7 linked regions of the Ovis aries genome follow. The protein of the gene in region 5 interacts with the protein of the main gene of each other region in a pairwise test. Links are inferred from orthologs where the notes say so. Each region holds a gene or a part of one and is shown on either strand. Other genes may lie near its edges. The genes, in order: GSE1, UBE3C, KRT1, RGS8, GOLGA2, CDK18 and FAM161A.

Region 1 (3,500 bases), on a different chromosome or scaffold from region 5:
GTGAAGGAAGGAGCAAGTTGCTTCTGGTCATCCGAGAGGCAGGAAGTTACACAGCCAGATCCAGAGAGAAAGACTGAATCAGGGGCCAAGGACAGGGCCAGACCACCACCATTTCCTGCTTCGTCAGCAGGACAGCAGAGTCAGAGCCGTGAGAGGGAGAGAGAGAGAGAAAGCAGGTATCACAGGGCCTCTGAGACACACGCCAGGAGCACACAGCCCAGGCAGCAAGTGCTGAAACTGAAACCTGGGCCACGGCGGGAGGAATGGACGGCGGCCACACCTGCCACCAGGCCAAGTCCGCCGGAGGAGCCAGGACCCCACACCCCTGAAAGCATGACTGGTGGCACCGTGTTCCGCTGAGATCGTCTCACGCGCAGGAAGCTTGAGAGAGAGAAAGGAGAGGGAGAAAGAAGCCCGCCGTGTCCGGGAGGAAGACGACCTGGGGTGGTCGGTGGCCTGCGGCCCTGGGCACCCCCGGGACAGTCCCGGGGGTGGCGGATGGGGCTGGCCTTACCGCTCAGGGACACGGCAGGACTGTCCCTCGGAGAGCTCCTGAGCGGGTCTGCCACTGCGGCGGACAGCGCCTTCTGCTTCATGGCCTGGAGCAGCTCAACAAGCCTCTCTTTGTCTGTGAGAAAAGCAGCCCGAGATTACCGGGGGGGGGACCGCGCCACTCCTGAGCGGGCAGAGGAGCAGGAGTGTAGCTCAGGCCGCAGCCGGCAGGCGCGAGTCCTTCGGAACGAGACACGAAGCCGCGGGCACAGGCTGGCTTTAGAGGAAGAACGTTCACTTTAGAGCCCGGACTCCTAGGCTGCCACCCCCTGACGTTTCAGGTGTTCCAAGAACAACGGTGCGTGCATGTGGCGAGTCACAGGTACCTGCGGGCCTCTGTGGGAGAATTCTCATTTTAAAAAGTTGGCCTCAACACAGGAAGCAACCCCGAAAAGCCACACCGCGCCTCAGGGCGGGCAGGCTCTCTCCGGGGGTGGTCAGCTCCCCGCTGCTCCCGCCGCAAGCAAGGCTCCTGTGTCAGCTGCCACCAGGGAAGAGGGACACACACGCACACACCCCGTATGACCCCGCAGTTCAGGGGCTCCTCGCCCAACCTCCTTAGGATTTGAGTCAGGCTGAGAGACGCGCTTCTCAAACAAAACCCTTCACATTCTCAGGGATGTGTCGTGGTCCCATCACTGCCTCTTTAAGGGAGAGCAGGAATCCAGGCCCACCGGTGCAGCCCAAAACGAACTAAGTGAGTGGAAGCAACTAAAACGACCGACAAGCACTCTTGCTTTCCTCAACTTCCTTCCAGAAAGAGGTGACCAGGCCTCGGCAAGCGGGGACAGTGTGGGCGTGTGGTTCAGAAAGGTCGAGTTTTCCTGCGGCGCTGAGCAAGCATGAGGTACAGACCAGGGAAGGGGTGCCCCAGAAGGCGAGTTCAGATTCCAGCCCAGTCACCCCTTGTGGCCAGACCGGGCTGGAAGGGTGAGCCGTCCATGCGGGGTGGGTGTCGGCCCGGCCCCGCCCCATGGCCTCGGACCACCCACACTTCCTGCCATCAGAAGGAGCAACGGCGGCCATGTGAGCCGCCCGCACAGCGGAGACCCAGCGACCGCAGGCACTGCGAGACCCAGGCGGGGACAAAAGCAGGTGGGAGTCCACGGCTGACTACACAGGACACCAGCCCCCTTCAGTGTCCCAGGACGACACAGGAGAAAGCACGCTCTGGAGGGGCCGTGTGAGTTTCCCACAGAGAGAGGCGTGGTGGCGAAGAGACGGGGGTACGAGTCTGTGACCGACTTCAACCCCGAGAGCCCACGGCCCCGCCTGCTTCCTCAGAGACCCCCGGCCGCCCTGGTGAGCCTGTCCCGAGGCCCAGCCCGGCCCCGCCTCACCTTTCCTCTTCTCGGCGCTGATATGGGTCAGGTTGAAGATGGTCAGGAACTTTTTCTTCTCCTCGAAGTTGGGGCTGCTGTTCATGTCGTCAGGGCTGTAGCGGGTGGACAGCGCCAGTCTGGGCGAAGGCGTCCGCCGTTTGTTCCGCGCCGTCGGGGGCGACGGGCTGCGCTCTCTCAGCATCCGCCGGCGTTTCCTCCGCTTCTGGGTCAGCAAGTCCTCCTTCTGCTGTTGGGTGGTCAAGCCAAAAAGTTGCAAAAACTCTAGCTTCTAGATTGGGAAAGAAAACAAATGAGGTTGAAACCACGGGCAGAGGCTCCCGCTGACCCCGGGGCCTCCTGGGCCTCGAAGGCTGCGCTGAGGACGCTCCGGGCTGGCCCGGGGAGGGGGAGGAGGGCGCCCGGAAGGCATCTCAGCCGGCGCGGGGAAGCCGAGAGGGGTGCCCACAGCCCAGCCCAGGGCCCAACAGCGGTGAGACCCCAGATACCTCGGAGGATGTGTCCAGTTTGAGGGGCGGCTGCTCGGCCACGCAGCGGAGGTGGGCCCTGACCTCCTCTTCATCGCTCTCGTCGTAGGAGTCGTCCAGGTCGTAGTAGTATCCTGGAGGCAGGAACGGAGCTCTTCAGCCAGGCAAGGGGGCTCACCTTTCCAGGGGATGCACACGGGGCACCCCTCGGACCTGAGAGCCCACCCATAGGCCAGGCCCTGCTGCCCCTGACCACCCCCAACCCTGGGCCCTGCGTCCGTTAACCCCTGGCCCCAGGCCTCCTCAGGGCTGGCGGTGGGGGCACGAGGTGCGCACCAGGGCTGACACAGCCCCCTAGCAAGGGACTGCCAGGGTAGCCCAGGTCTGTCTGCACATCCGATCCCCCTCCTGCTCAGGAGAGCCAGGGCACTCAAGGGCCCCGTCCGCACAAAGGCGCAGAGTCCGCGCGCAGAGTCCCGTGCAGAACAGCAGAGCCCGAGGGCCCAGGGCCAGACCGGCCACCTCACAGGTGAGTGGAGGGGTGGCCCTTCCAGGACCAAACACGTGCTCCTCACGTGGCCTGGGGCCCCACTTCTGGCTGTGAGGCTGGGCTTGGCACCCGGCAGGAGCTAGGCTGGGACCCCTGGTCCCACCCGGCTGTTGAGGGGCTGTGTGGGTGGAAGGCACCACGCTCGACCCGGGCCTGCCTGCTCTCCTGTTCTCTGTGGCTTTCCGGGGAATCCCAGGGCGCTGCTGGCCGAGTCCTGGGCCAGCAGTCTGGGGGAAAGCGCAGGAGCGAGGAGGGGAGACCAGACCTTTTTCCTGGGCCTCCCGCCGCCGGCGCTCCTCCAGGTCCAGCTTGCTGACCAGCCTCCGGCGCTGCTGCAGAAACTCATCGTAGACGTAGGCCGGGTCGGGGCCCCGAGGCGGTGGGGGCCGGTAGGGTGAGCCCGGCTTCAGGGGTCCGGGGGGCTCCCCGAAGGTGGCCGGCGGGGCGAGCGAGGCCCGGGGCTGGCCCAAGACAGTCGGGGTGGCTGGCTCGAGCTCCGCCAGGAAGGGCCCGGGCCCCGGGGGGAAGGCCTGCGGTTCCAGGGCCCCTGGCTCCCGGGGCGGCGGCGGGTACTTGTCCAGGGGCACGGCC
Region 2 (3,500 bases), on a different chromosome or scaffold from region 5:
GAAATGGCAACCCACTCCAGTGTTCTTGCCTGGAGAATCCCAGGGACGGGGCAGCCTGGTGGGCTGCCATCTGTGGGGTCGCACAGAGTCAGACATGACTGAAGCGACTCAGCAGCAGCAGCAGGCTACAAGAGAGGGTGAACAGTTTTCACATGCGCTGGTAAGCCAGGAGGTTCATGTGGCTCGCTTTATTCCGGTGCTCGCTTTGCCGTGGTGATCTGGAGCCACGCCTGTGCCATCTCCACCGAGTGCCGCTGCACAGTGTAATTTGTGCCTGAGTGCAAAAGAGGAGAGAGAGAGCTGGCTCAAAACTCAGCATCAGAAAGCGAACATCATGGCACCAGGTCCCATGACTTCATGGGCAAATCGATGGGGAAACAGTGACATTTCATTTTCTTGGGCTCCGACATCACTGCAGACAGTGACTGCAGCCACGAGATTCAGACGCTTGCTCCTTGGAAGAAAAGCCATGGCGAGCATAGCATATCGAAGAGCAGAGACACCAGTCTGTTGATGGGGGTCTGCTAGTCAAAGCTGCTGGTTCTTCAGGGAGTCAGATACAGATGGGAGAGTTAGACCATGAAGAGGGCGGGGTGCTGAAGAGCTGATGCTTTTGAATTGTGATGCTAGAGAAGACTCTTGAGAGTCCCTTGGACTGCAGGGAGATCAAACCAGTTATTCCTAAAGGAAATCAGTCCGGAATCTTCATAGAAAGGACTGATGCTGAAGCTGAAGCCCCAATACTTTGGAAGAGCCGACTCATTTGAGAAGACCCTGATGCTGGGAAAGATTGAGGGCAGGAGGAGAAGGGGACAACAGAGGATGAGAGGGTTGGATGGCATCACTGACTGAATGGACATGAGTTTGCGCAAGCTCTGGGAGATGGTGAAGGACAGGGAGGCCTGACGTGCTGCGGTCCATGTGGTCGCAGAGAGTCGGACACGACTGAGTGACTGAACAGCAGCAGCGACGTGCGGATGCACGCGTGTGAGCTGCGTCTCTCGCAGGGCGTGTCATGTGGCAGAGCGTTACGGATCACACAAGCTGCATCCCTCCAGGCTCCCAAGCAGTGCAGTCAGCAGTGCCCAAACTGCACGTGCAGTCACATTTGTTTCCTCGTGTATGTGTGTGTGCGTGCATACGAGTGTGAGGAGAGTCTGTGTTTCACTAATAGACCAGATAGGTAAGCTCCATTGAGTATTAGCTCAGATTTCAGTCAGTGTATCAGATATTCGAGAGAAGTTGAGATACAAAATGACAGGTTTATGTATGCATTTTGATTTTTTTAACGTTTTTAAATATTTGCTTAAACTGTGGTATCTCAAGTCATCTAAAGTGGACATTTTGCCGGATGATAATCCGTTTTCACACGGGGGCTTCGTCTGGAGCGGTCTGAGCACTGTGGAGTGAGCCCTGCTCTCAGTGTGAGGACCTAGAGCTCGTCAGTCCCCCAGCAGCCGCGCCCACGGCCCTGCTCCGCAGGCACAGAGGGACCCGCAGGGGTGCCCTCGGTCTGCAGGGGACCTGAGGGCCATTCGGTGCACGACTTAGCAGAGACGCTGACGTTGTCCGTCGGGATGCGGGTGGCCTTTAGATAGTGCCTGTCGTGTGTGAGTCGCGCTGAGCTCTGCCGGGACGTGGCTGACCGAACGGTCCCTCTGCCTTTCAGGAGGACGGGCGGCTGTCTGTGCTGTACATCGCCGAGGAGTGTCTGAAGAAGCTGGACACGAAGCAGCAGACCAACACGCTGCTGAGCCTGGTGTGGAGGGACTCGGCCAGCGAGGAGGCCTTCACGCTGATGGCGGCCATCTGCCACACGCTCATGGTGCAGCACCGCGTCCTGGTGCCGCGGGCCAGGCGAGTGCCACACCCCCTGCTGCGTGGGCGCCCCGGGCCTCCCGCCCTGGTGGGGGCTCAGGCCTGCCCGGGGCCCGGTGAGGGAGCCCGCAGAGGCTCGGGCTGTCAGAGTGCCGTGACGGTTTACTTTGGTGCCTGAGGAATCCTTTTGTTCTTCAAAGCAGTGAAGTGAATGTTTGAAGGACAAAGCATGGAAGTTTGAATGTGGCCGGTGGATGTGACGGTAACTTTCAGCTCCCCTGTCCCTGTGCTTTGAGGGACAGCTGAGCAGGTTCCTAGGCTTCGGCAGACATGTGCTCAGGGCAGGACGTGAGAGTGGGCACGGTTGTGGGCGGTCCACCGGGAGCTGAGGTCCTCCCGCTGCAGGCGTGTGGGGGCGTGCGTTCCCGGCGGCCCGGCAGAGCCCCTCTTCTGTGGAGAGCTGTTTCTTTGGCTAGGAGAGCATTCTTTGACACGAACTGCGTGCAGGGAGCACTCGGCCGCAGCGGCCTTGTAAACAGTCGTGCAGCCAGCTAATTAGGTGCGATCTTGGCTCGCTGGTGTTTATTACTGTCTGAGGAAGTGAGGCGGCGTGAGGCAGTGAGCCCTGGGTGAGTTGATTAGCTCACGGTGGGCTGATTGCATCGGAGCAGGATGTGAGATCTGAGGACCTGCAGCCCAAGCAGGCCGCTGGTTTTATTGGAGCTCAGAGTCCATGGCTCTGGGCAGTAATGCCTGGACTTGATGTATCACTGCCCTGGCCTGAGGTTTACTGCAGAACCGCTTCCACGGGGTGTTTAATGGGAGAGGAGCTTTATACGTAGCCTGGGTTTTATGAGTACAGCACCTGTTTCCTCTAAGAAAGTACTCTAGGAATTTTATTTATGGTTTAAATATATTAGGTTCTGAGTATTTAGAGTGTTTTTCATAGCTCGTAAAAGAGCAAAGAGGCTTATTTTCGCTGTTGTAGATGTTAACTGCTTTCAGCTTTTTACGAAGGTATTTAAAAGATGATTAGTCAAGTCTAGGCGAATAACTCTCTCTCAGCTCCTCCCAGGCTCATAGTAGTCCCCCTTATTTTCAGGGGTGGGGTTTGTGGCTTTCGCTTCTGTTTACCATTGATCGTCAGGAACTCTGAAGGAATTTGGAGGCCCTTTCTTCATTGATATGGGAAGGTTTCTAAGATACATGTGTAAGTGAAGAAAAGGTTTCAGAACAGTGAGTAGTAATGTTTTGTGCCTTAAAAGGCGGGAAAGGTAGAATGTGTATCTGCATAAAGAAACCTGGCAGCGCTCACAGGAAATTCACAGACGTGATGAATCACACGTCTGGGCTCCTTGTGGGGGTGGGGGCGAGGGTCGAGGAGGTGGAGAGAGTGGACTTTGAACTGTATACTTTAACAGGGTTTTGGGTTTTGAATTATGTGAATTATTTTAATTTTTAAAGATTAAGTAGTTAACGAATCTCTATCTCCTTTTATGAAAGTCTGTAGATCTTACCATTGAACTTGGAAATCTGAATAAGTTTTTGAATTTAAAAATTGCTCTTCTTTTGGAAAACACATTCACTAACTTTGAATGTGAGCAGGCATTCACTGGTTGTGCTGGGGCTGGGAGAAGGCCGGCTCTCTCCCAGTGTCTCGAGAACTGAGCCTCGTAGGTGGA
Region 3 (3,330 bases), about 130 Mb from region 5:
CCCAGACTCCTTGTTTGGCACCCACCATAAACACTGTACTTTCCTTCATCATAATCTGGTGTCAGTACCTGGGCTTTACTGCACAAGGGCAAGTGGCCCCAAGTTTTCTTTGATAACATCATCACTGGCTATTCCACATAAACAATTGCTTTTCCAATAATACTCTCCCCCTCTTTTCAATGCCGGATTCCTCTTTCCCACCCTGCTTGGTTCACTGCCCTGTTCAAGTAAGCCCTCTCCGATGAGTAAAACCTGCTACCCTAGTCTCTCTATTTCTCATGACACCTTCACCCTCTGCACAAGAGTTCATTCTAGTTAAATGTTGAATGTTTAAATTTAAATGTTGTCTGACCAGCGTCCCCACCTTGCTCATGTTCATGTGCCCCAACCCCGCCCTCCCCCCAACACACACACCATAGGGCTCCAGGGTCGTCTTCTCCCCACAGAACACCCATCCAGGATGGACAGTGCTGTGAACAAAGGAGATGGAGACACAGAGAGAATTTCAAATGCAGTTTATTGCAGCAACACAGGAAACGGGGAGTTGAAGACCTCTCCACAAAAGACAACTGGCTTACACATTATGTGCAAAACCAAAGCAGCACGGAGCTTGCTGTGCAAGTTAGGACACCAGGGAGCTGTCCAGAGCTTGTGCTCTGTCCATGGCAAAGAAGCCGTGGGTCTGACCAGCTCTCCTCTGGCTGACTTAAGGAGGTGCTTTGAAATGTAATGTGTGTAGCAGTGATTGTTGAAGTGTTTCTTGGGCAGAGTACAGAGCAGGGTCCTAGCTGAGGGACTGAGATTGTCACTGATTTAAAAATTTTCTTTGGAAATCAGAGCAGAAAGGACAGAGCTAGGGAATAGGATGAACCAGTGTAACCATAGCTTTTCTTCCTCCAGTAAGGCTGGGACACTCGGAAGCATATTTGGTAGTGATGGAGAGAGAAAGCTAATGGAGGAGAGAGGACCTCTTTATCTGGTCCCTCTGGAATAGCTGGTGGAAACAAACTTCACGCTGGAACTGCCACCGGAGGTCTTGGTGCTGGATGCCCGACCTCCCGAGGAGCTGAAGCTGCCTCCAGAGCCGCCACCGCCGCCTCCAGAGCCGCCTCTCCGGCTCCCACTGCTGCCGCCTCCAGAGCTGTAGCTGCCGCCACCTCTGGAGCCGTAGCTGCTGCCACCTCCAGAGCCGTAGCCGCCGCCACCTCCAGAGCCATAGCCGCCGCCGCCGCCGCCTCCAGAACTGTAGCCGCCGCCACCGGAGCTAAAACCACCGCCTCCTCGGCCACCGCCGCCACTGATGCTGGTGTGACTGGTGCTCACAGCTGCAAGAGAACATTCGGCTATCATCAACCCCAACTCCCTTTCCAACCCAGCAAGACCAGCAAAACCTGCACCCGAGAAGAAGCCCTGAGAAATCAGTTTGTACTTACACACACTCACGTTCGGGACACACTCTCCAGACATCCTGAAGGAGAAAGAAAAGCATAATACTCATGATGCCAGCTTCACAGACTGCCTCCCCAGGCCCTCTCAGCCATCTGTAAAGAGTCTTCCCACCTGGGAGTCCCCCAGGCTGCTTCATCTGAAACCTAATCCCATTCCCTCTGGCCTCCCGAACTCGGTCATTTTTCTCAGCATCAGTACTAACAGGGCAAAACCTCCATGTAACTTAGACAAGGTAAATATGCCCACCACATCACAAAGGCACTGGCTTTAGGTCAGATGACATCTGAGCCAGCCCAGGTGTGGCTCAGACAGTAAAGAGTCTGCCTGAAATGTGGGAGACCCAGGTTCGATCCCTGGGTCAGGAAGATCCCTTGGAGAAGGAAATGGCAACCCACTTCAATACTCTTGCCTAGAAAATCCCATGGACAGAGGAGCCTGGTGGGCCCCAATCCATGGGGTTGCAAAGAGTTGGACACGACTGAGCGACCAACACACACACACTCAGGTGAAGAATAAATTGCTCTCTCTCAAAGAGTTCAGAGAGAGGCAACAGCCTTCAAAACACAAAAAACAAAAAGAGCTTAGGACTCTGGCTCCCAAAGTGAAACCAAGCGTTTCCTCCTGTGCTGTGTGCTTTTCCTTTCCCCATACCCAGGACAAGTTGCAGTCACGTGATTGCATCTTCAACAGCAACCAGTGTCCAAGGGAGGAAGCACATAGGAAGTGGCCAACTGCCCAGGGTCCCTTCTTCACCTGCTTTCCTCTCCTTCCAGGAGGGTTCTATAGGTGGCAATCTCCACATCCAGGGCCAGCTTGGTGTTCATCAGTTCCTGGTAGTCGCGCAGCAGGCGGGCCATGTCCTCCTTGGCCTTCTGCAGGGCGTCCTCCAGCTCGTTCAGCTTGTTCTGGGCATCCTTAATGGCGTTCTCACCACGTTGCTCAGCATCACTAATGGCCTGTTGCAGTGAAGAGATCTGGAAAAGGAGAACCCAGCATATTATACACTCTCTGAATCCCTAATTCCATCTTGGCCTTTCTGTCTCCGATTGATCTCTCCACCCTTGTGAGGCCAGTACTCTGGCTCCCAGAGAGTTACAGGACCTGCATTCACCTGTCTTGAGATAATACATCACTGTGTCAACTTCCTTAAATAAAGGTGATACAGCAGCCTCTCTGGGCCCTAAGTTAAGACTCTTTCACCGCCTACAGACCTGACGTTCTTCCAGATGCCTACTCTCCTGGTTTCCTTTCCTCACCATCTTTGAAGTCTCACTTTGGGCCATGGGCTAGACCTCTCATGACCACTATATCTATTTCTTTACTAGGTCATTTTCATAAGTTTCCCCAAGGAGAACCTAGCATCATGGCCAAACTCTAGAAACCATAGTTACCAAAGAACTAGGGATAACAAGACAACCTTCATATGGATTGTAAGCCTCAAAATTAAGAACACATCTTCCAATAACCTGGACATCCCAACCCATTCCATATAATTGAGTAGTTGAAGGAGGAAGCAAGTACCTGCTTCTTGACACTGTCGATCTCAGATCTAAGTCTTTGGATCACCCGATTCAACTCAGAAATCTCCATCTTTGTGTTTTTCAAGCTGTCTCCATGTTGCCCAGCAGTGATCTGGAGCTCTTCATACTAAATATGGTAGATAAAGTCGTTCAGAGGTGGCAGAGTGCACCATGGCTCATGTACACAAATGTAAGAGAAAAGTCACGATAGCAAGAGAAGACACTTTAGGAAAACTGAACAGGCATCGGCCCATTCACCTTGGTCTGGTACAGGGCCTCAGCCTCAGCCTTGCTCCTCTGGGCAATCTCTTCATATTGGTTTTTGACTTCATCAATGATGCTATTCAGGTCCAAATTGCGG
Region 4 (4,135 bases), on a different chromosome or scaffold from region 5:
GATCACCTGAGACATGACAAAGACGTCTCAGTCATGTTTGCAACCCCCACGGCGCACAGTCGGCGCCAAGGATTGTTGGCCGAATTGACCTGATTTTGTTGAACTGGGGCAATGTCTGACGCTGCAGTGAACCGGTTGGTGATCATGATGGATCACAGTGACACTGTCCTAACGAGAGCAGCTGTCCCCTGGGGGTCATCTGGGGCGGCGCTGGTCAGGGCGTGTGGACGCCGGCCTGAAGGAAAGGAACTAGCTTGTAGTGGGAGGACGGGTCCCTGGAAACCTGTCGCAGTTCTTGGCCCCTGCATCCCCCTCCCTGCCCTCCGGAGAAGGTCCTCATCTGAGATCTCTCTCCGTTCATTAGCTGTGCTCATCGAGTCTCCCCAGCTGCACTTCCTCTGGTCTTTTCTGGCTTTGCTGTTTATTTATTTGTTCCCCGTCAGCCTCTTTCTCTGGCTCTGCTTGTAAACAGAGCCGATGACTGTCAGCTCCAGGGCCTATGTGGTGAACCTGGTGCCCCCAAGTGGGGGCAGCAGGTCTCATAGACTCTAGAATCCGATGCCAACGGTTATTTATCCCTGACCCTCAGAAGCTGCTCCAGGCACTGGCCCAAGCTGTCCACAAAGTTTTTCTCCTGATCATCCAAATGGAACTTTACAGACAGAAGCATCACATGACATGTTCTCTCTGTCCCCTCCTAGCCCTCTCTCTTGGTCCTTGTTCTTGCCACCATACCCCCATCACAGGTTGGGCAGCTGACCGGGGGGCACCCAGGCTGGCCTGTGGTGTGGAGTGGCAAATAACACGAAACGTTTCATGCATTACACTCTTCCCTGGCTGATTTTTAATCCTCATTAAGAAAGTTAGAACTGGGCTTCCTCTACCTTGCCCAGCCATCCCAAAGCCAGAGTATCCTTGCTGGTTGGCTATGGCAGGAGAGAGCTCTTTGAGGCTGAGCCTTTGTCTTTTGCATCCATCCCGGTCTGTTTTTGAGGCGAGGCAGGTTCTCCTCTCTCTCCTGAGGCCAGTTACCCTGTTTCACCCCCTTCCCTGCTGTGCAACCCTGGGGGACCACCTCTGCCTCCACTTCCACCCTCAGACCCCTGGGGGCTCTGCTTCTCCCTGCCTTCTGCAGCGCACTGGCCCCTCGGAGGCAGCTGCCAGTGAGCTCGCTGTCAGCAGGAGAGCCTCATAGGCAGTGCCATTCTGCTCGAGTCTGCGGTCCTCCCCCGACTCTGCGTGGCAGCGCGCATCATCTGTCAGAGTGCCCCCTCCCCTCCCTCCGCTTCCCCACCCCCTTCCCCTGGCGCTTGCCGCCTTCCCGGTTCATGAGATGCAAAGCCCGTCAGGCGGGTGAGGAGCCAGCAGGAGCCGCATGTTACAGCCGCCCTGCTAGGGGTACCCCCCCAACTCGCGGAGGTGAGGTGAGCCGCCCCTCGGCAGCCCTCTCCCATGTACCAGGAAGTGGATGACTCGGTCACTCTGGGCTTCACTGAGCCATGCCCAGCTGGTACCGGCGCCAGCCAAACCTTCCCAGCTGCACTGCCCTTCACCAGACAGGTAAGAGAGAGCTGCTGTTCCAGCCGGGCGAGAGGGTCCCCGAACTGGCCCTCCCCAGCCGGCCATCCTGAGCCATGAGTCTTGCTGGGAAGTGCAGGGCACTCCAGTGCAGAAAAGGCGCTGTCTGCCTGTCATAACCCTACCATCCCATTTTCTAACAGAGCTCCTTAGACAGACTGGGTTAAGCCAGTCACTCTTGCCAGGAGCAAGGGTGCAGGAACATGCCCATTCTTCCTGGTCAGTGGGTGCTAAGCTGCCAATATCCTGTTTTTGTTCTTTCTCCTCCCCTGAAACCTCCTTTCTGGTCCAAGGGGACGCAGTATCTCCCCGCAGATCCCTTCGGGGGCTCTGTGATTATGGTAGATTGCTGCCTGGACCGTGACACTGTTTCTGTTCGTTTCATTCATGTCTTTGCTGTTGTGTTCGGCGGATCGCCGGCACAGCAGTCTGGCTGCCCACAGCATCTGTTCTGTTTCCAGACAGCGTGCAGGTCCCCTGTGCTGCTGGTGACTAATGCTGGTGACACATTCTGATGCAGGAGAACTCACGATCACAGTGGGTTCAAGGGAGATCAAAGTACATCGGAGGTCACTGATTTTTTTGCGTTTTCAGCTTTATTGAGATGTAGTGACAGATAACATTGTAATATGTTTAAAGTGCCCAATGGGATGATTTGATACATGTATGCATTCTGAAAGGACTCCCACCATCGAGTTAATTAACACATCCGCTGGCAGGTCACCAACTTCTAGTTTCAAATATTTTCCCACATTTTTATTATTGCATATAATGTTGGAAGAATATCATAGAGTTTTGTTCACATTCCGGATTGTTTTCTTAGACATAGTCTTAAAATGAGACTTTCTGGGATGGTCTTTTTTTTTTTTTAACTGATACAAGTGACATCTAACATCGTTTTGGTTTCAGGTTACAGTGTAATAATCTGATATATGCATGTATTATGCAAAGATCACTGCAGTTAAGTCCAGTTAACTTCCATCACCACACGTAGCTGCAATTGTTTTTTTTAGGAGAGGGCAGGTCACCAATTTCTAAGCAGTGAGTTGAGGACAGAGTAAACGTCTATAGGAGGTGTTTTCTTGGCATCAGCTTCTCAGAGCTGTCTAGGGGGGCGTGGAGGAGAGCGGCTTTTCTCTGTGCTAGAGTCATTCCATCTCAGCCTATTGTTTCACTCCACACTTAAAACCTGGCTGAAGGTCCTTATAGGTGTTTATCTTGGGATGCTTTCAAACTAATGAAATAGGAAGGAAAGCCTACCCCTTCCTGCAACTTGGGTTATTTTTGGATTATTTGTTCCCACAGTTTTGGAAAACTCCAGGTGTTTTGGGGAAGATGCAGGAGGTGCTGGAAAGTGGGGGAGTGAGATTACCGTTATCGAGAGAGTATCTACGTGCTTGGGGGAAAGTTCAAAGCTCTAACTGGCAATGTGTTATTATGCTGATGATGGCTTTTACTTTTAGTTTGGGAATGGTATCCCTGTGAGCACTCAGTCAGTCTGGCAAACTGTTTTTATTAACCATTTGCTCTTTGCTCAGTCCTTAAAATAGGTGTCCTAGTAGAAGATTGATGGGAGAGGGGTGAATGGGGATTGGAGAGTGTTGGGTGACCCCTAGTCCACCGTGGCCTGGCCGAGGTAAGCTGCTCCTGGAGACCCTGTTATTTTGGCATTAAAATTTTTTCTCACACAGTGCTTTATGCACAAAGGAATCTTAAAACTTTCTCATGTTCTTTGTCCATTTGAATTAGACTTTCGCTTGAAGCCAAGGTCTTTCTCCTATGGATCAGTGAGCTTCAACCACAAGAGTCATTTCACAAATGCCAGGGACTCCCAAGGGATTGAGTAAGAGGTAGATGGTTGGCTGCACAAGATCCATCATATTACCATTTAAAAAATCCTCCAAATGTGGGTCTCAGGGATGAGTCAGCAGTAGCAGCAGTACTGAATGTGATGCAATGTTGTATAGAGTGGAAAAAGCCCTGGGGGTCCTGGGTTCGAGTCTCCCTAGGGTCATTAATTGAATTACCCTGTGCCCTTCACTCAGGGATCCTGTACAGCTTTGTTTTTATCATCTGTAAAATGGGTACAATAACAAGGGCCCAACTTACCTCCAAAAGTTTTTATGAGAATCAACTAAAAAATGATGATAGCTGCTGGTTATCAAGATGTGCTGGGCAACTTTACTAGGTATTTTCCTTACATGATGCTGTTTAATCCTTCCAACTTCCCTAAAACTTAGTCTCCAGGAGCTTAAGAAACCTGATCAGCTAAAGAAGTGAAAGCAATTTTTAGGTTTTGGCAGTGCCATACAAATATAAGTTTTGTTGTGTATCACGACTTCATGGCTTAGGATATTTATCCTGCTAATCCTTTCCTAGGCTCTCCCGTCCCATATGCTTGCTCATTTCATTTCTGTCCAAATACTTACAGCTCCAGAGCCACTAGAAACGCTCCTTGCTTTTCCTGTCTTGAAAATTAGAATACCTTTCACTGTTCAAGAAGCATCAACATTCTCACCAGAACCTTTATCAGGACCTTTATTCTCTGTTTGGAATT
Region 5 (3,500 bases):
ATTTTCCCTCCTACTCTAACCCATGCCGAGCTCCAGTTTTCGGGGTACCTCGGACACAAGACCGTTGAGCTGCTGAGACAGCTGTCGCAGACTCTCGGTGGATGAAAAGGATCTGGGGATGAACACAGCAGTCAGGGGTGCAGGAGGCTCGATGGGAAAGGGGGGGTCACGGGGCGGTGGCCTAGGGACTGGTGCCCCCGTGGGAGACACTCACGTGCTTTCGTCAATGGGACCAGAACGGTTGTCGGCATCATGGTTCTGTTTGGGAAGAAACACAGGAATTGGTCATTCAAGTTTTAGGAGGAACCACCTACAGGCACCAAGCTCATTCCGACCACTTTCCACCTCCCTGAAGCTTAAGGGGAGTCTGGTTTTGGGCTCCCCCATCCCAGTCCTCAGGAAGGGCACCTGGCTCACAGAGCCAAGATACCTGGAAAAAAAGGACGAGGGTCCACAGGAGGTCCAGTCCTCCGGGAAACAGGAGGGGGTGAACACAGAGCGGGCCAAGGGGGAAGAGGCACAAACCTGAGTTGATGCCATGCTAGTGACACGGGGGGGACTAGCACTGGGGGAAGGGACACCGCCAGGTGACACGGTGTCATCAGCAGATGGTGTAACAGGAGCGGCGCGGTCTTTGGGCGCCTGTCACAGAACAGAGCAGGGGGTTAGGGGGCCATGCAGGGCAAAGAGTGCCTCGCTGTCATGAGTGCAGGGGTGCAGAGCTGGCAGGACCGGTGTTGAGCAGTCGTGACAGTCACACGTGCTGGGAGCCACGCGGGGGTGTGGCTGCGGCTCGCCTAGAACTTGGGCCATTCTGCCGCCTTCTGGACCGAGGCTCAGGGCAAGGGCAGTGAGGCCTGCTTCCTGAACATGGAGTGTCATCCTCTGTGGAGCTCAGTCAGAGGCAGGGCCAGGCTGCCCTCTGGCAGCCGCAGCAGGTAAGAGGGAAGCGTGCCGGGGCAGGGAGAAGCAGGTGTTGCCTTTCCAGAGGGTCAGTCTGTGCCAGAGTGACCCTCCCCCGGGACCCTGCTGGGCAGAACGCGGCAGTGATAAAGGAAGAGAGCATCTGCCTCCTCCTTCTTGCTCTCCCTCCATCCCTCCTCCCAACCACTGGGTGTGTCCCCGAGTCATGCCTTTTTTGGGAAAGAAGCCGTCAAACAAGAAGGCTCCTCCTACTCCTGCAGGTGGAAAGAAAACTGTGGCCACTACCCCACCCTAAGTTCCTAGCTCCTAAACACCTACCCAACCAAAAACAGCTGAGAAACCAGAGAGAAGACGTCTACTATTGGCCTCTTGGAGAAGAATTGTGGGTTTGAGGACCAGGGGCCACAGAGAAGTCCCCTCTTCCCCCACCCACGTGGATTCACCTGCTTGACCAGAGCCCCACTGGGCCTCTCTCCAGGCTCAGGCCTGACTGACACTGAGTCCAAGCCGCTGGCTCCTGAGAGCTACCATTCAACAGGTGAGACTGCAGAGGACTGACTAGCTGAGGCTTGGCCAGGGAAGAGCGCCAGGCAGCCAAGGCCTGGCCAGCCAAGGTGGATCTGGAAGGGAGAGGCTGCACCTCTCCTGAGGGAAAAGGCAGCCTGCTCTCTGGACGCCGCAGCCCTGGCCTCTGAAAACTCAAATCTACTGCCCGCCTTAGAGCAAGCGCCACAGAGCCTGGGGAGCTGAAGAAGAATCAAACTGTCGGCATGGTAACTGTCCTCACTGTGACCTCTGACTCCAGAACCTGGTGTTGCCTTGCCAACCTGTACTCCTGAATCTAATAGGTAAGAGTAGGGGTTTGGCAGCTGGCGAGGAGTGAGACTTCAGTGGTGGGGCAGGGGGAGCACACTCTTAGCCATGGGCCCTGGGGAGCCCTAGGTCCCTCCTGGCATCTTGGCGCTCAGGGATCCCTAGCATTAGAAACAAGAGAGCTCAGAAGGGGAAAAAAGGACTTGTCTGAAGACTGAAATATACAGAATATGACAATTTAGTGAACAACCAAGTTATTTCATAATTTTGAATCATAAAACTAAGTATGGAATTTCAAAAAACATTGTCCACTCCCCTCAAATGTCCCATTCCATTAAAAAAGAAAAAAAACACACTTTTTTCTATCCATTATTTCTCATTTCTGGAAATGTCATCAGCTCTGCCTAGGATACTGTAATCACAGGCCTAGTGTTTTTTTTTTTCTTTTACTAGAATAGAAAACTTAAGTGGGAAACAGTTATTGATATAGAGAGGATTTTAAAACAACAAGAAAGGGAACTTCCCTGGTGGTCCAGTGGTTAAGACTCCATGCTTCCAATGCAAAGGACATGGGTTTAATAATCCCTGGTTGGGGAACTAAGATCCCACAAGCTGTGCAGTGCAGAAAAAAAAAAAAAAAAAAAAAGTATGACAAATAAAACAAGAAGGGAACATGGGGTTATGGGTCTTCATTTCCAGGAGAGCAGACGGATGCAGGCCAGGGCTTCGGGACTCCTGGAGGCCCATGTTCCCTCCCCGGGCCACCCAGTGTCTCCTCTGAGAGCCAACAGGATGAGTCACAGCACCTGGACAGACCTGAGTGACTGGGTGTGAGCAGTCCTGATGACTGAAGACTCTCTCACCCCAGCCACCAGGGCCCTGGCCCCACCCCTCTCCCCCTGCCCATCTCCAGCAGGACCTGGCCCCCTTCCAGTTCTACTCTGGCCTGGGAGATGTTCCCCGAGGAAGTTAATTAAGGAGGAAGTGCCAACATCATGTCTGGAGGAGGTCATCTCCTAGTCCAGGTGCATCCCAGACTCCCCTTCTTTCTGGATAATACTCTGTGAGCTCATAGTCCTGGTCGTTACCTGTGACCACATCCTCTGCCTGGGTCCCCTACTCGCAAAATGGATGAATGCTCCCCACTTCTAATCCTCAAACCAGCTTCGAATGCCACCCTCTCCAGCCTGGAATCCATTTAGGATGAACCTCTGCTTCAGTTGAGCATTTGGAATGCTGCCACATCCTGGCTTGCTTCTTTCACCTGTTTTCTCCAGCACCTAGCACTAGCTGTCTGCTTTCAATGTCCCACTGAATACAGTTGTGTCCAGTGGATTTTTAAAAGAGAACAGGGGCAGAATGTCCTGATCACTCATGTGTTTGGTGAACCTCACATCGCTTACAGTTAGTTCCATTGAAAAAATAACCTCAATCCTTCTAACTATTATAAAGTAAGCTCCTTTTCTCTTAACCCTAACATTCCTTACTGCCAAACCAAAAGGAACTGATGAACTGAAAAAAAAAAAAAATCACAAACTGCTTTGTGGTCTACTGGTCTTTTGGGGACAGATGCCCAGGGGGCAAGATTTGAAGGTATGGTTTTATTTAACCTCTCCTAGTCTGAGAACACCACCAGGCGTTCAAACTGAACGCTCAAAGAGCCCTAATCCCACACACCTGCTCCAAAAACTATTCCCAAGTTACCTTTAACCTCCAAGGAGCATCTCACCTTCTCCAAGATGATAAAAGATGGTGGGGGCAGG
Region 6 (3,500 bases), on a different chromosome or scaffold from region 5:
GGATAGACGTGCTGGAACCGGGGAGCGTTACAGAAGCCCTGGGGGAGGCAATCCATGGACAGATGTGCTGGAAGCGGGGAGGGTTACAGCAGCCCTGGGGGTGGGGGGTGGTCCATGGACAGATGAGCTGGAAGCGCGGAGGGTTAAAGCAGGCCTTGCAGGGCGGTCTGTGACAAGCAGGCTCTCACCTTGACGTTGTGCATGCTCATGAGGCTCCCGCAGTGGTCCAGATACTGCTTCAGGTCACGGTCCTGGAACACGGCGCCTGGCTCAGCCCCACCCTGACCCGAACCCTGGCCAGAAGCCCTCCTGGAGGCGGGGCCCAGCCCGGGAGTGGGACAGGCCCCCGGCTCCGAGCCGCCCCTAAGCCTGGGCCCTTGGCCTCTGGGAACAAGGCCCGGGCCACCTCCACGCTCTGCCCCAGCCCCATGCCCACTCACCAGGTACTCAAACACCAGGGTGAGGGAGCGCTCCGTGTGCACGAGGTCATGCAGGGTCACGATGTTGGCGTGCTTCAGGTTCCGCAGGAGAGACACTATGGGCGACAGGCGCGCCTGAGCCCCGCGTGCCCCTCACCCCTCTTCCTGGGATCAGCCTCGGGGGTCCCCCCCCAGCCATGTCTCCTAGCCCCTAGCTGCCCCCAGGCTCAGGACCCCCCGGAGCCTCAAGCCCGCAGGAGCCTCGGTGCGCACCCTCGCGGATGGCAGTGCAGGGCGCCCCCTCCTCGTGCTCCAGCCGGATCTCCTTCAGGGCCACGAGGTTCTCTGTCAGTTTGCTGCGCCCCTTGAAGACTGTGGCATAGGTTCCCTGGGAGCAAGAACAGCAGTCAGGGCCAGCTCTCCTCTGTCCAACGCCCTCCTCTCTGTGCCTCTGCCTGGGCTGTGATGTGGGCCAGACTGCCCTGCCAACTGGAAGAGGAAACGGCAACCCACTCCAGTATTCCTGCCTGGGAAATCCCACGGACAGAGGAGCCTGGTGGGCTACAGTCCACGGGGTCTCAAACAGGCGGACATGACTGAAGTGACTTGGCGTGCACACCCTGCCTACCCTCCCCACCCCGTGCACTTCACTGGAATGCTCATTCCTCCAAAGCCTGCTTCTCTGTGAGGCCGTCCCTAACTCCTCCCCGGTCGGAAGGAGCGTCTCTCCTGCACGCTCCCAGCAGGCAAGGTGCCCCTCTATTACAGCATTAGTTTTGTTCTCCCTTATATTCTGTCAACGTTTACACGCAGGCCTCCTCTGGCTCCCTAGAAGGATAGGGCTACACTCTCCTCCTCTCTGCAAACCATTGCTCACCCCCCAGCCTGGAACACAGAGGCCAGTGCAGTGGCAACAGAAATAGCCAGTAAACACACAGTGCAAAAGCTTATTCTAGGGACCTCCTCAGTCCTCACAGTGCCCTCCACTGACAGAGGGGGAAATCAAGGCACAGGGGGCGGTCACCCCAGAGCTCACCCCAGGCCACACAGCTAGCCAACAGTGGAGCTGGGACGTGATCCTAGGCATGAAGTACTTGCAGAATAAAAAGACTGCATTCTGACCCAGAGTCCATCAGCCACTCCATCCTTAGGGCCTCAGGGCCTCCTCCAGGACCTGGGCCCACCTTAACACCTGCCGAAGGCTTGGCCAGACAGACTGCATGGCCAAGAGCGTAGATGGCAGGAGCTGTGGGCAGGGGCATGTGAGTGCAGACCAGAGAGGCTGGGGAGACCCCCTTCCTCCTCCTCGCCATCCTGCCTGGCAACCTGGCTTCTTACCTCCCCCAGTTTGTCCAGTTTCACGTATGTTTCCAGTTTCCCAAAGCCGATATCTGACTGAGAGAGAGACAAAGCATCTGTGAGCCCGAAGGCCCCCGCCTACGGCCACTCTCCCCGCCCTGGGCTCCAGGCGAGAAGGGAACGAGACCCTGCGGGTCCGACGCGAGCAGGGGGAGGGCAGTGCCAGGTGTTCTCTCCCCGTCTTCTCTCTGGCCCTGGGAGTGAGTTTCTTTCTCCCATGGCAGCGCAGGGACCAGAGCCCAGGGTGCAGGCCTGGGATTGCCCCATGCCTTCATCACCTGTCTCCATCCTGCTCAGAAGCCCCTCAAGGACAGGAACTGTACCTTTTCTGTCACCGCACCTTGAGTGTCCAGTTCAGAACCCACTTCCCTACAGCCTCCCATCAGCACACTTGCTCTCACTCAGCACTCAGTTCAGTTCAGTTGCTCATTTGTGTCCGACTCTTTGCGACCCCATGAACCACAGCACGCCAGGCCTCCCTGTCCATCACCAACTCCCAGAGTCCACCCAAACCCATGTCCATTGAGTCGGTGTTGCCATCCAACCATCTCATCCTCTGTCATCCCCTTCTCCTCCTGCCCTCAATCTTTCCCAGCATCAGAGTCTTTTCAAATGAGTCAGCTCTTCGCATCAGGTGGCCAAAGTATTGGAGTTTCAGCTTCAACATCAGTCCCTCCAATAAACACCCAGGACTGATCTCCTTTAGGATGAATTGGTTGGATCTCCTTGCACTACAACCCTTAAAAGTATGGATTCCCGGGCCCCACCACCCAGAGTCTGATTCTGTAGGTATCTGGATGGGGGATCAGAATCTGTGTTTTGTAAGATTTCCAAAGGAAATCTGACAGGCCAAGGCTCAGAAACACGTGCTAGCTGGCTTACTGATCTCATCTCAGTGAAGACTCAGGAACCCAGAGTGGGCCCAGCTCCATCACTGGTGGGACCCAACTGGGGAATGGAGATGGACAAAGGAGGATCCGCTGTGGGAATCCTATATAGCCAGCAGGTGGCGCTAGAGGCCCAGAAACCTCCCTGGAAACCGCTGCAGGCCTCAGCTGGGACAGGCTAAACCAGGACCATGCAGGGGAGTGGGTGGCCACTCTGGTGACCTCTGACCTTCTTAGGACTCACCAGGGAGGCGCGGCGGGACATTCGGGTGAGCGGTTTGGGCAGGTCTGGGCTCTCCAGCTGCAGCTTCTGCAGGAACTCCTGGGGCAGGCGGATGTCCATGGGCAGAGAGAGCCTCTTACTGATGTCCTGCAGGGGCCAGGATGGAACAAGGTGTCCGAGTTTGCTCCCGGCTAGCCAGGGCTTGTGGGGCCTGCATCTCCCAGCCTGGGTCTCTCCTTCCCTGTGAACAGTCCTAGCAGGATTGAATCATGGGTGAGGATTGCTTCAAAGTTGTGCTCAGGGGCAAACATGAGCATCCAGGTGGTGCTGGGTGACCTCAGGAGGTCCCTTGCCCTCTCTGAGCCTCAGAGTCACCATCTGCAGCCTGAGACTCCTGTAGACACTGCTTCTGTGAGCCTGTTTTTCATACATTTGGGCACATGGATATGGGCCATAAGAACAATAGTCAAATTGTCTAGCCCTTGCTGTGTACCAGGAATGTTCTGAGCACGTGGCATATATTAACTCATTTCATCTTCATCATGATCATTTTAACATAAGGAGACTGTGGTATGCAGAGGCTGAGTAACCCACTCGAAGTTACAGATCTAA
Region 7 (3,500 bases), about 38 Mb from region 5:
TGTCAGAAAATTCTCTTAAGTGAGTTGTATGACTCAAGTGGGCCTTAAGAAGCACTGCTATTAATAAAGCTAGTGGATGTGATGAAATTCCAGCAGAACTATTCAAATCCCTTAACGGATGTTGCCATCAGGGTTTGCATTCATTATGTCAGCAAATCTGGAAGACCCAGCAGTGGCCACAGGACTAGAAAAAGTCCATCCTCATCCCAGTTCCCAAGAAGGCTAGTACCAAAGAATGTGCTAACCATCGGACAATTGCATTCATTTCTTATGCTTGTAAGGTCATGCTTAAAATTGTGCATGCTAGGCTTCAGCATTATGTGAACCAAGAACTTGAGGATGTCCAAGCTGGGTTTAGAAAAGGAAGAGGAACTAGAGATCAAATTGCCAACATTCACTGGATTATAGAGAAAGCAAGGGAATTTCAGAAAAACCTCTCTCTTTCATCTTTTAGGCTGTGCTAAAGCCTTTGATTGTATGGCTCATGACAAACTGTGGAAAGCTCTTAGAGAGATGAGAATACCTGTCTCCTGAGAAACCTGTATGCGGGTCAAGAAGCAACAGTTAGAACCCTAGATGGAACTACTGATTGGTTCAAGATGGAGAAAGGAGTATGACAGGGCTGTCTGCTGTCACCCTGTTTGTTTAACCTATACGCTGAGCACATCTTGAGAAATACTGGTCTGAACGAGTTACAAGCTGAAGTCTAAGTAGGTGGGAGAAACATCAACAACCTCAGAGATGTGGATGATAACTACTCTAATGGCAGAAAGCGAGGAGGAACTAAAGAACCTCTTGATGAGTATGAGGAGGCGAGTGAAAGAGCCAGCTTAAGACTAGATATTACAAAAACTAAGACTATGGCACCCAGCCCCATTACTACATGGCAAATAGAAGGGGAAAAAGTGGAAGTAGTGACAGATTTCCTCTTCTTGGGCTCCAAAGTCACTGTCGGTGACTGTAGCCATGAAATCAGAAGACAATTGCTTCTTGGCAGGAAAGCTATGACAAACCTAGACAGTGTTGAAAAGCAGAGACATTACTCTGCTGATAAAGGTCCATGTTGTCAAGGCTGTGATCTTCCCGGTTGTCTCATACAGTTGTGAGAGCTGGACTGTAAAGAAGGCAGAACGCCAAAGAATTGATGCCTTCAAACTGTGGTGCTAGAGAAGACTCCTAAAAGTCCCTTGGACAGCAAGGAGATCAAACCAGTCAATCTTAAGGGAGATCAACCCTGAATATTCACTGGAAGGACTGATGCTGAAGCTGAAGCTACAGTATTTTGGTCATCTGATCGAACAGACAACTCATTTTAAAATCCCTGATGTTGGGAAAGATTGAGGGCAGAAGGAGAAGAGGGCGTCAGAGGATTAGATGGCTGGATGGCATCACTGAAGCAATGAATATGAACTTGGGCAAACTCCGGAAGATGGTGAGGGACGGGAAGGCCTGACGTGCTGCAGTCCATGGGGTCACAAAGAGTTGGACACAACGAGGGGACTGAACAACAGCAACATGACTCATAAAGAAATTCTCCAGTTTATTTGGTAATAAATTTCTGCACACTTGTTCTACGGAAGAAAACTTGTTTTCTTTCATTTGTTTTCTCTTAAGTTATCGCAAGTGGTACAACACTGGCCTCATGTTTTTGAGCCCATTAAAGTGTTATAAGTATTATGGACAACTGAATCTTCTGAATTTTCTGTTGGGAGACACTATTCAGGTTTATTTTCTAGAGTCTTATCAGGTTGGATCTCTATTTTTCTTTGGCAAATATACTTTTTTCATTTTGAGTCTATTTCAGGCAGTAAGCTAAATTTAAAACCATAGTAACCTTTTATGCATAGTATCATAAACAATTTCAATTGTTTCTTACCTGAGCAATTTTTATATACTTGTGGAGGATATGGGGTTTTACCTCTTTAAAGTTCTTTCAGTTAAAGGAAATTGAAAGGTATTTGAAGGGAGTGAGGGGGAAAGGATCAGCCTTACCCTTGTAGGCGTGTATATAGAATAACCGCCCTATGTGTTCTTGTTCCCTTGTCACCCCCACAGTCCTTGTCACCATGGGAGCTACTGTTCTTGTTGCCCACAGGAGTGGCTATTCTGAAAGTCCCTCCTACCTTCACCTCCTGCTGTTCCTGAGGTTGCCCCCAACCCCCACCCCATGCACATGGAGGAGAGTTTCTCTCTGGCTTCTTGATGAGCCCCCAAGATTTGTTCCCTCCATTCCCACATTTCCCGGAATTCTCATTCAGTTTTCCTCTCTGCTGAAACACCCTTGGGGCCCACACTGCAAAGCCCAGCTCAGAGAGGGCACTGGGCTATGGTTGGTTGGTCTGCAACAGGAGAAACTGTGTTCTTCATCTCAGATTAGCCTGCTCTGAGAAGGAGGCTCTTTATAAAGCGTGATTTGGTTTGATCCTGCCGTAGTGTTTCTTAGTACATAATTTGAGAATCTAACCACCCTTTAAAGATGGATTAAACAGTATTTATTTTCTGGCAACTTGGTCTCTCTATCTCTCTCTCTCTCTCTCTTATTCTTAATAAAATGCTTATTAGGAGAAAATGTATACAGCCCACAAGTAACTTATGTTATATGTACATAGTCCACAAGTAAACATATAACCTCATTAAGTGGACTTTTAAAAAAGCAGCATTGGGAATAAGTGTCAACTTAATTTGTCTTACAACTCCAGACATCATATAACAGGTTTTTTTCATCCTACCAGGCTGATTTTAACACCAGCATTTATAGGGTGAATGAACAAAAACATATAAGCCATGAGGATTTTGTGGACTTTTCTGATATTTACCACTCTAATGAAGAGTATTTCAGGAAACTAGAAGAGCTGAAGGCAGCCCACATAGAAACTATGGCAAAGTTAGAGAAATTGTACCAGAATAAATTAAATTTAAAGGAAGTTCAGCCAGCAGTCACCAGGGAAGAAGCTGCTAGTGTCTCTTCCAGGTAAGTTTGTCCATACTGTTATTTGTAGACTGTAAGATAAAATGTATAGTTAAAAATGCAAAACAAATTATTTCAAAATATTTTCTCTCAAATATCGCTTTGTGCTTTTAATGATATATGGAGGTGGGTTTTTATTCAGATTGTTTGATGGCTTATCAACCTACTAGGTAGCTTCTTGCTTTGAGGGTTATTTGGTGGACATTCACGTCTTTTCTCTCCGATGCACCACTCTTAGACATGTATCAAAATATTTAGCCTGGGCCATTTTCAAATGTTGAATATTAGAATTCCATTTTAAATGTCTTTTATTTTTATAATATGTGGATTAATGTGAGCTCTTTGCAGATATAACACAGATTGTTCAGAACTAAGACATAAATCTGATTTGTTTTCAAAATAGTCATTTTTGCCATAAACCTGCTTCTTTCGAAACTTGAAGCCAGTCATCCAGTTAGTCAGCACTGATGGTGCATCTCCTGTGTACCAGATGTTGCCTAGGCACTGAGGACTCAAAATCAAGATGCTCTCA

What was found.
Region 1: the proteins of GOLGA2 (region 5) and GSE1 interact in binary tests that used the Homo sapiens proteins (3 or more experiments, as listed by UniProt). The link is inferred for Ovis aries from reciprocal best matches to the Homo sapiens genes GOLGA2 and GSE1.
Region 2: the proteins of GOLGA2 (region 5) and UBE3C interact in binary tests that used the Homo sapiens proteins (3 or more experiments, as listed by UniProt). The two-hybrid records come from large-scale screens. The link is inferred for Ovis aries from reciprocal best matches to the Homo sapiens genes GOLGA2 and UBE3C.
Region 3: the proteins of GOLGA2 (region 5) and KRT1 interact in binary tests that used the Homo sapiens proteins (3 or more experiments, as listed by UniProt). The two-hybrid records come from large-scale screens. The link is inferred for Ovis aries from reciprocal best matches to the Homo sapiens genes GOLGA2 and KRT1.
Region 4: the proteins of GOLGA2 (region 5) and RGS8 interact in binary tests that used the Homo sapiens proteins (3 or more experiments, as listed by UniProt). The two-hybrid records come from large-scale screens. The link is inferred for Ovis aries from reciprocal best matches to the Homo sapiens genes GOLGA2 and RGS8.
Region 6: the proteins of GOLGA2 (region 5) and CDK18 interact in binary tests that used the Homo sapiens proteins (3 or more experiments, as listed by UniProt). The two-hybrid records come from large-scale screens. The link is inferred for Ovis aries from reciprocal best matches to the Homo sapiens genes GOLGA2 and CDK18.
Region 7: the proteins of GOLGA2 (region 5) and FAM161A interact in binary tests that used the Homo sapiens proteins (3 or more experiments, as listed by UniProt). The two-hybrid records come from large-scale screens. The link is inferred for Ovis aries from reciprocal best matches to the Homo sapiens genes GOLGA2 and FAM161A.

The regions. Positions count from the first base shown.
Region 1 is NC_056067.1:11,180,734-11,184,233, reverse strand, and holds part of GSE1 (genetic suppressor element 1), read right to left. Parts: coding exon 3,175-3,500; intron 2,494-3,174; coding exon 2,381-2,493; intron 2,164-2,380; coding exon 1,893-2,163; intron 889-1,892; coding exon of another isoform or gene 869-888; exon of another isoform or gene 635-868; intron 629-634; coding exon 515-628; intron 1-514.
Region 2 is NC_056057.1:120,084,973-120,088,472, forward strand, and holds part of UBE3C (ubiquitin-protein ligase E3C), read left to right. Parts: intron 1-1,669; coding exon 1,670-1,857; intron 1,858-3,500. UniProt on the Homo sapiens protein: E3 ubiquitin-protein ligase that specifically catalyzes 'Lys-29'- and 'Lys-48'-linked polyubiquitin chains.
Region 3 is NC_056056.1:133,705,813-133,709,142, reverse strand, and holds the end of KRT1 (keratin, type II cytoskeletal 1), read right to left. Parts: coding exon 3,228-3,330; intron 3,097-3,227; coding exon 2,971-3,096; intron 2,424-2,970; coding exon 2,203-2,423; intron 1,469-2,202; coding exon 1,434-1,468; intron 1,326-1,433; coding exon 973-1,325; 3' UTR 501-972; downstream 1-500. UniProt on the Homo sapiens protein: May regulate the activity of kinases such as PKC and SRC via binding to integrin beta-1 (ITB1) and the receptor of activated protein C kinase 1 (RACK1). In complex with C1QBP is a high affinity receptor for kininogen-1/HMWK.
Region 4 is NC_056065.1:63,189,037-63,193,171, reverse strand, and holds the start of RGS8 (regulator of G-protein signaling 8), read left to right. Parts: upstream 1-1,335; 5' UTR 1,336-1,560; intron 1,561-4,135. UniProt on the Homo sapiens protein: Regulates G protein-coupled receptor signaling cascades, including signaling via muscarinic acetylcholine receptor CHRM2 and dopamine receptor DRD2.
Region 5 is NC_056056.1:8,015,303-8,018,802, reverse strand, and holds part of GOLGA2 (golgin subfamily A member 2), read right to left. Parts: intron 643-3,500; coding exon 526-642; intron 259-525; coding exon 215-258; intron 113-214; coding exon 49-112; intron 1-48. UniProt on the Homo sapiens protein: Peripheral membrane component of the cis-Golgi stack that acts as a membrane skeleton that maintains the structure of the Golgi apparatus, and as a vesicle thether that facilitates vesicle fusion to the Golgi membrane.
Region 6 is NC_056065.1:3,132,048-3,135,547, reverse strand, and holds part of CDK18 (cyclin-dependent kinase 18), read right to left. Parts: intron 3,036-3,500; coding exon 2,910-3,035; intron 1,815-2,909; coding exon 1,758-1,814; intron 808-1,757; coding exon 693-807; intron 536-692; coding exon 441-535; intron 252-440; coding exon 189-251; intron 1-188. UniProt on the Homo sapiens protein: May play a role in signal transduction cascades in terminally differentiated cells.
Region 7 is NC_056056.1:46,312,238-46,315,737, forward strand, and holds part of FAM161A (protein FAM161A), read left to right. Parts: intron 1-2,732; coding exon 2,733-2,971; intron 2,972-3,500. UniProt on the Homo sapiens protein: Involved in ciliogenesis.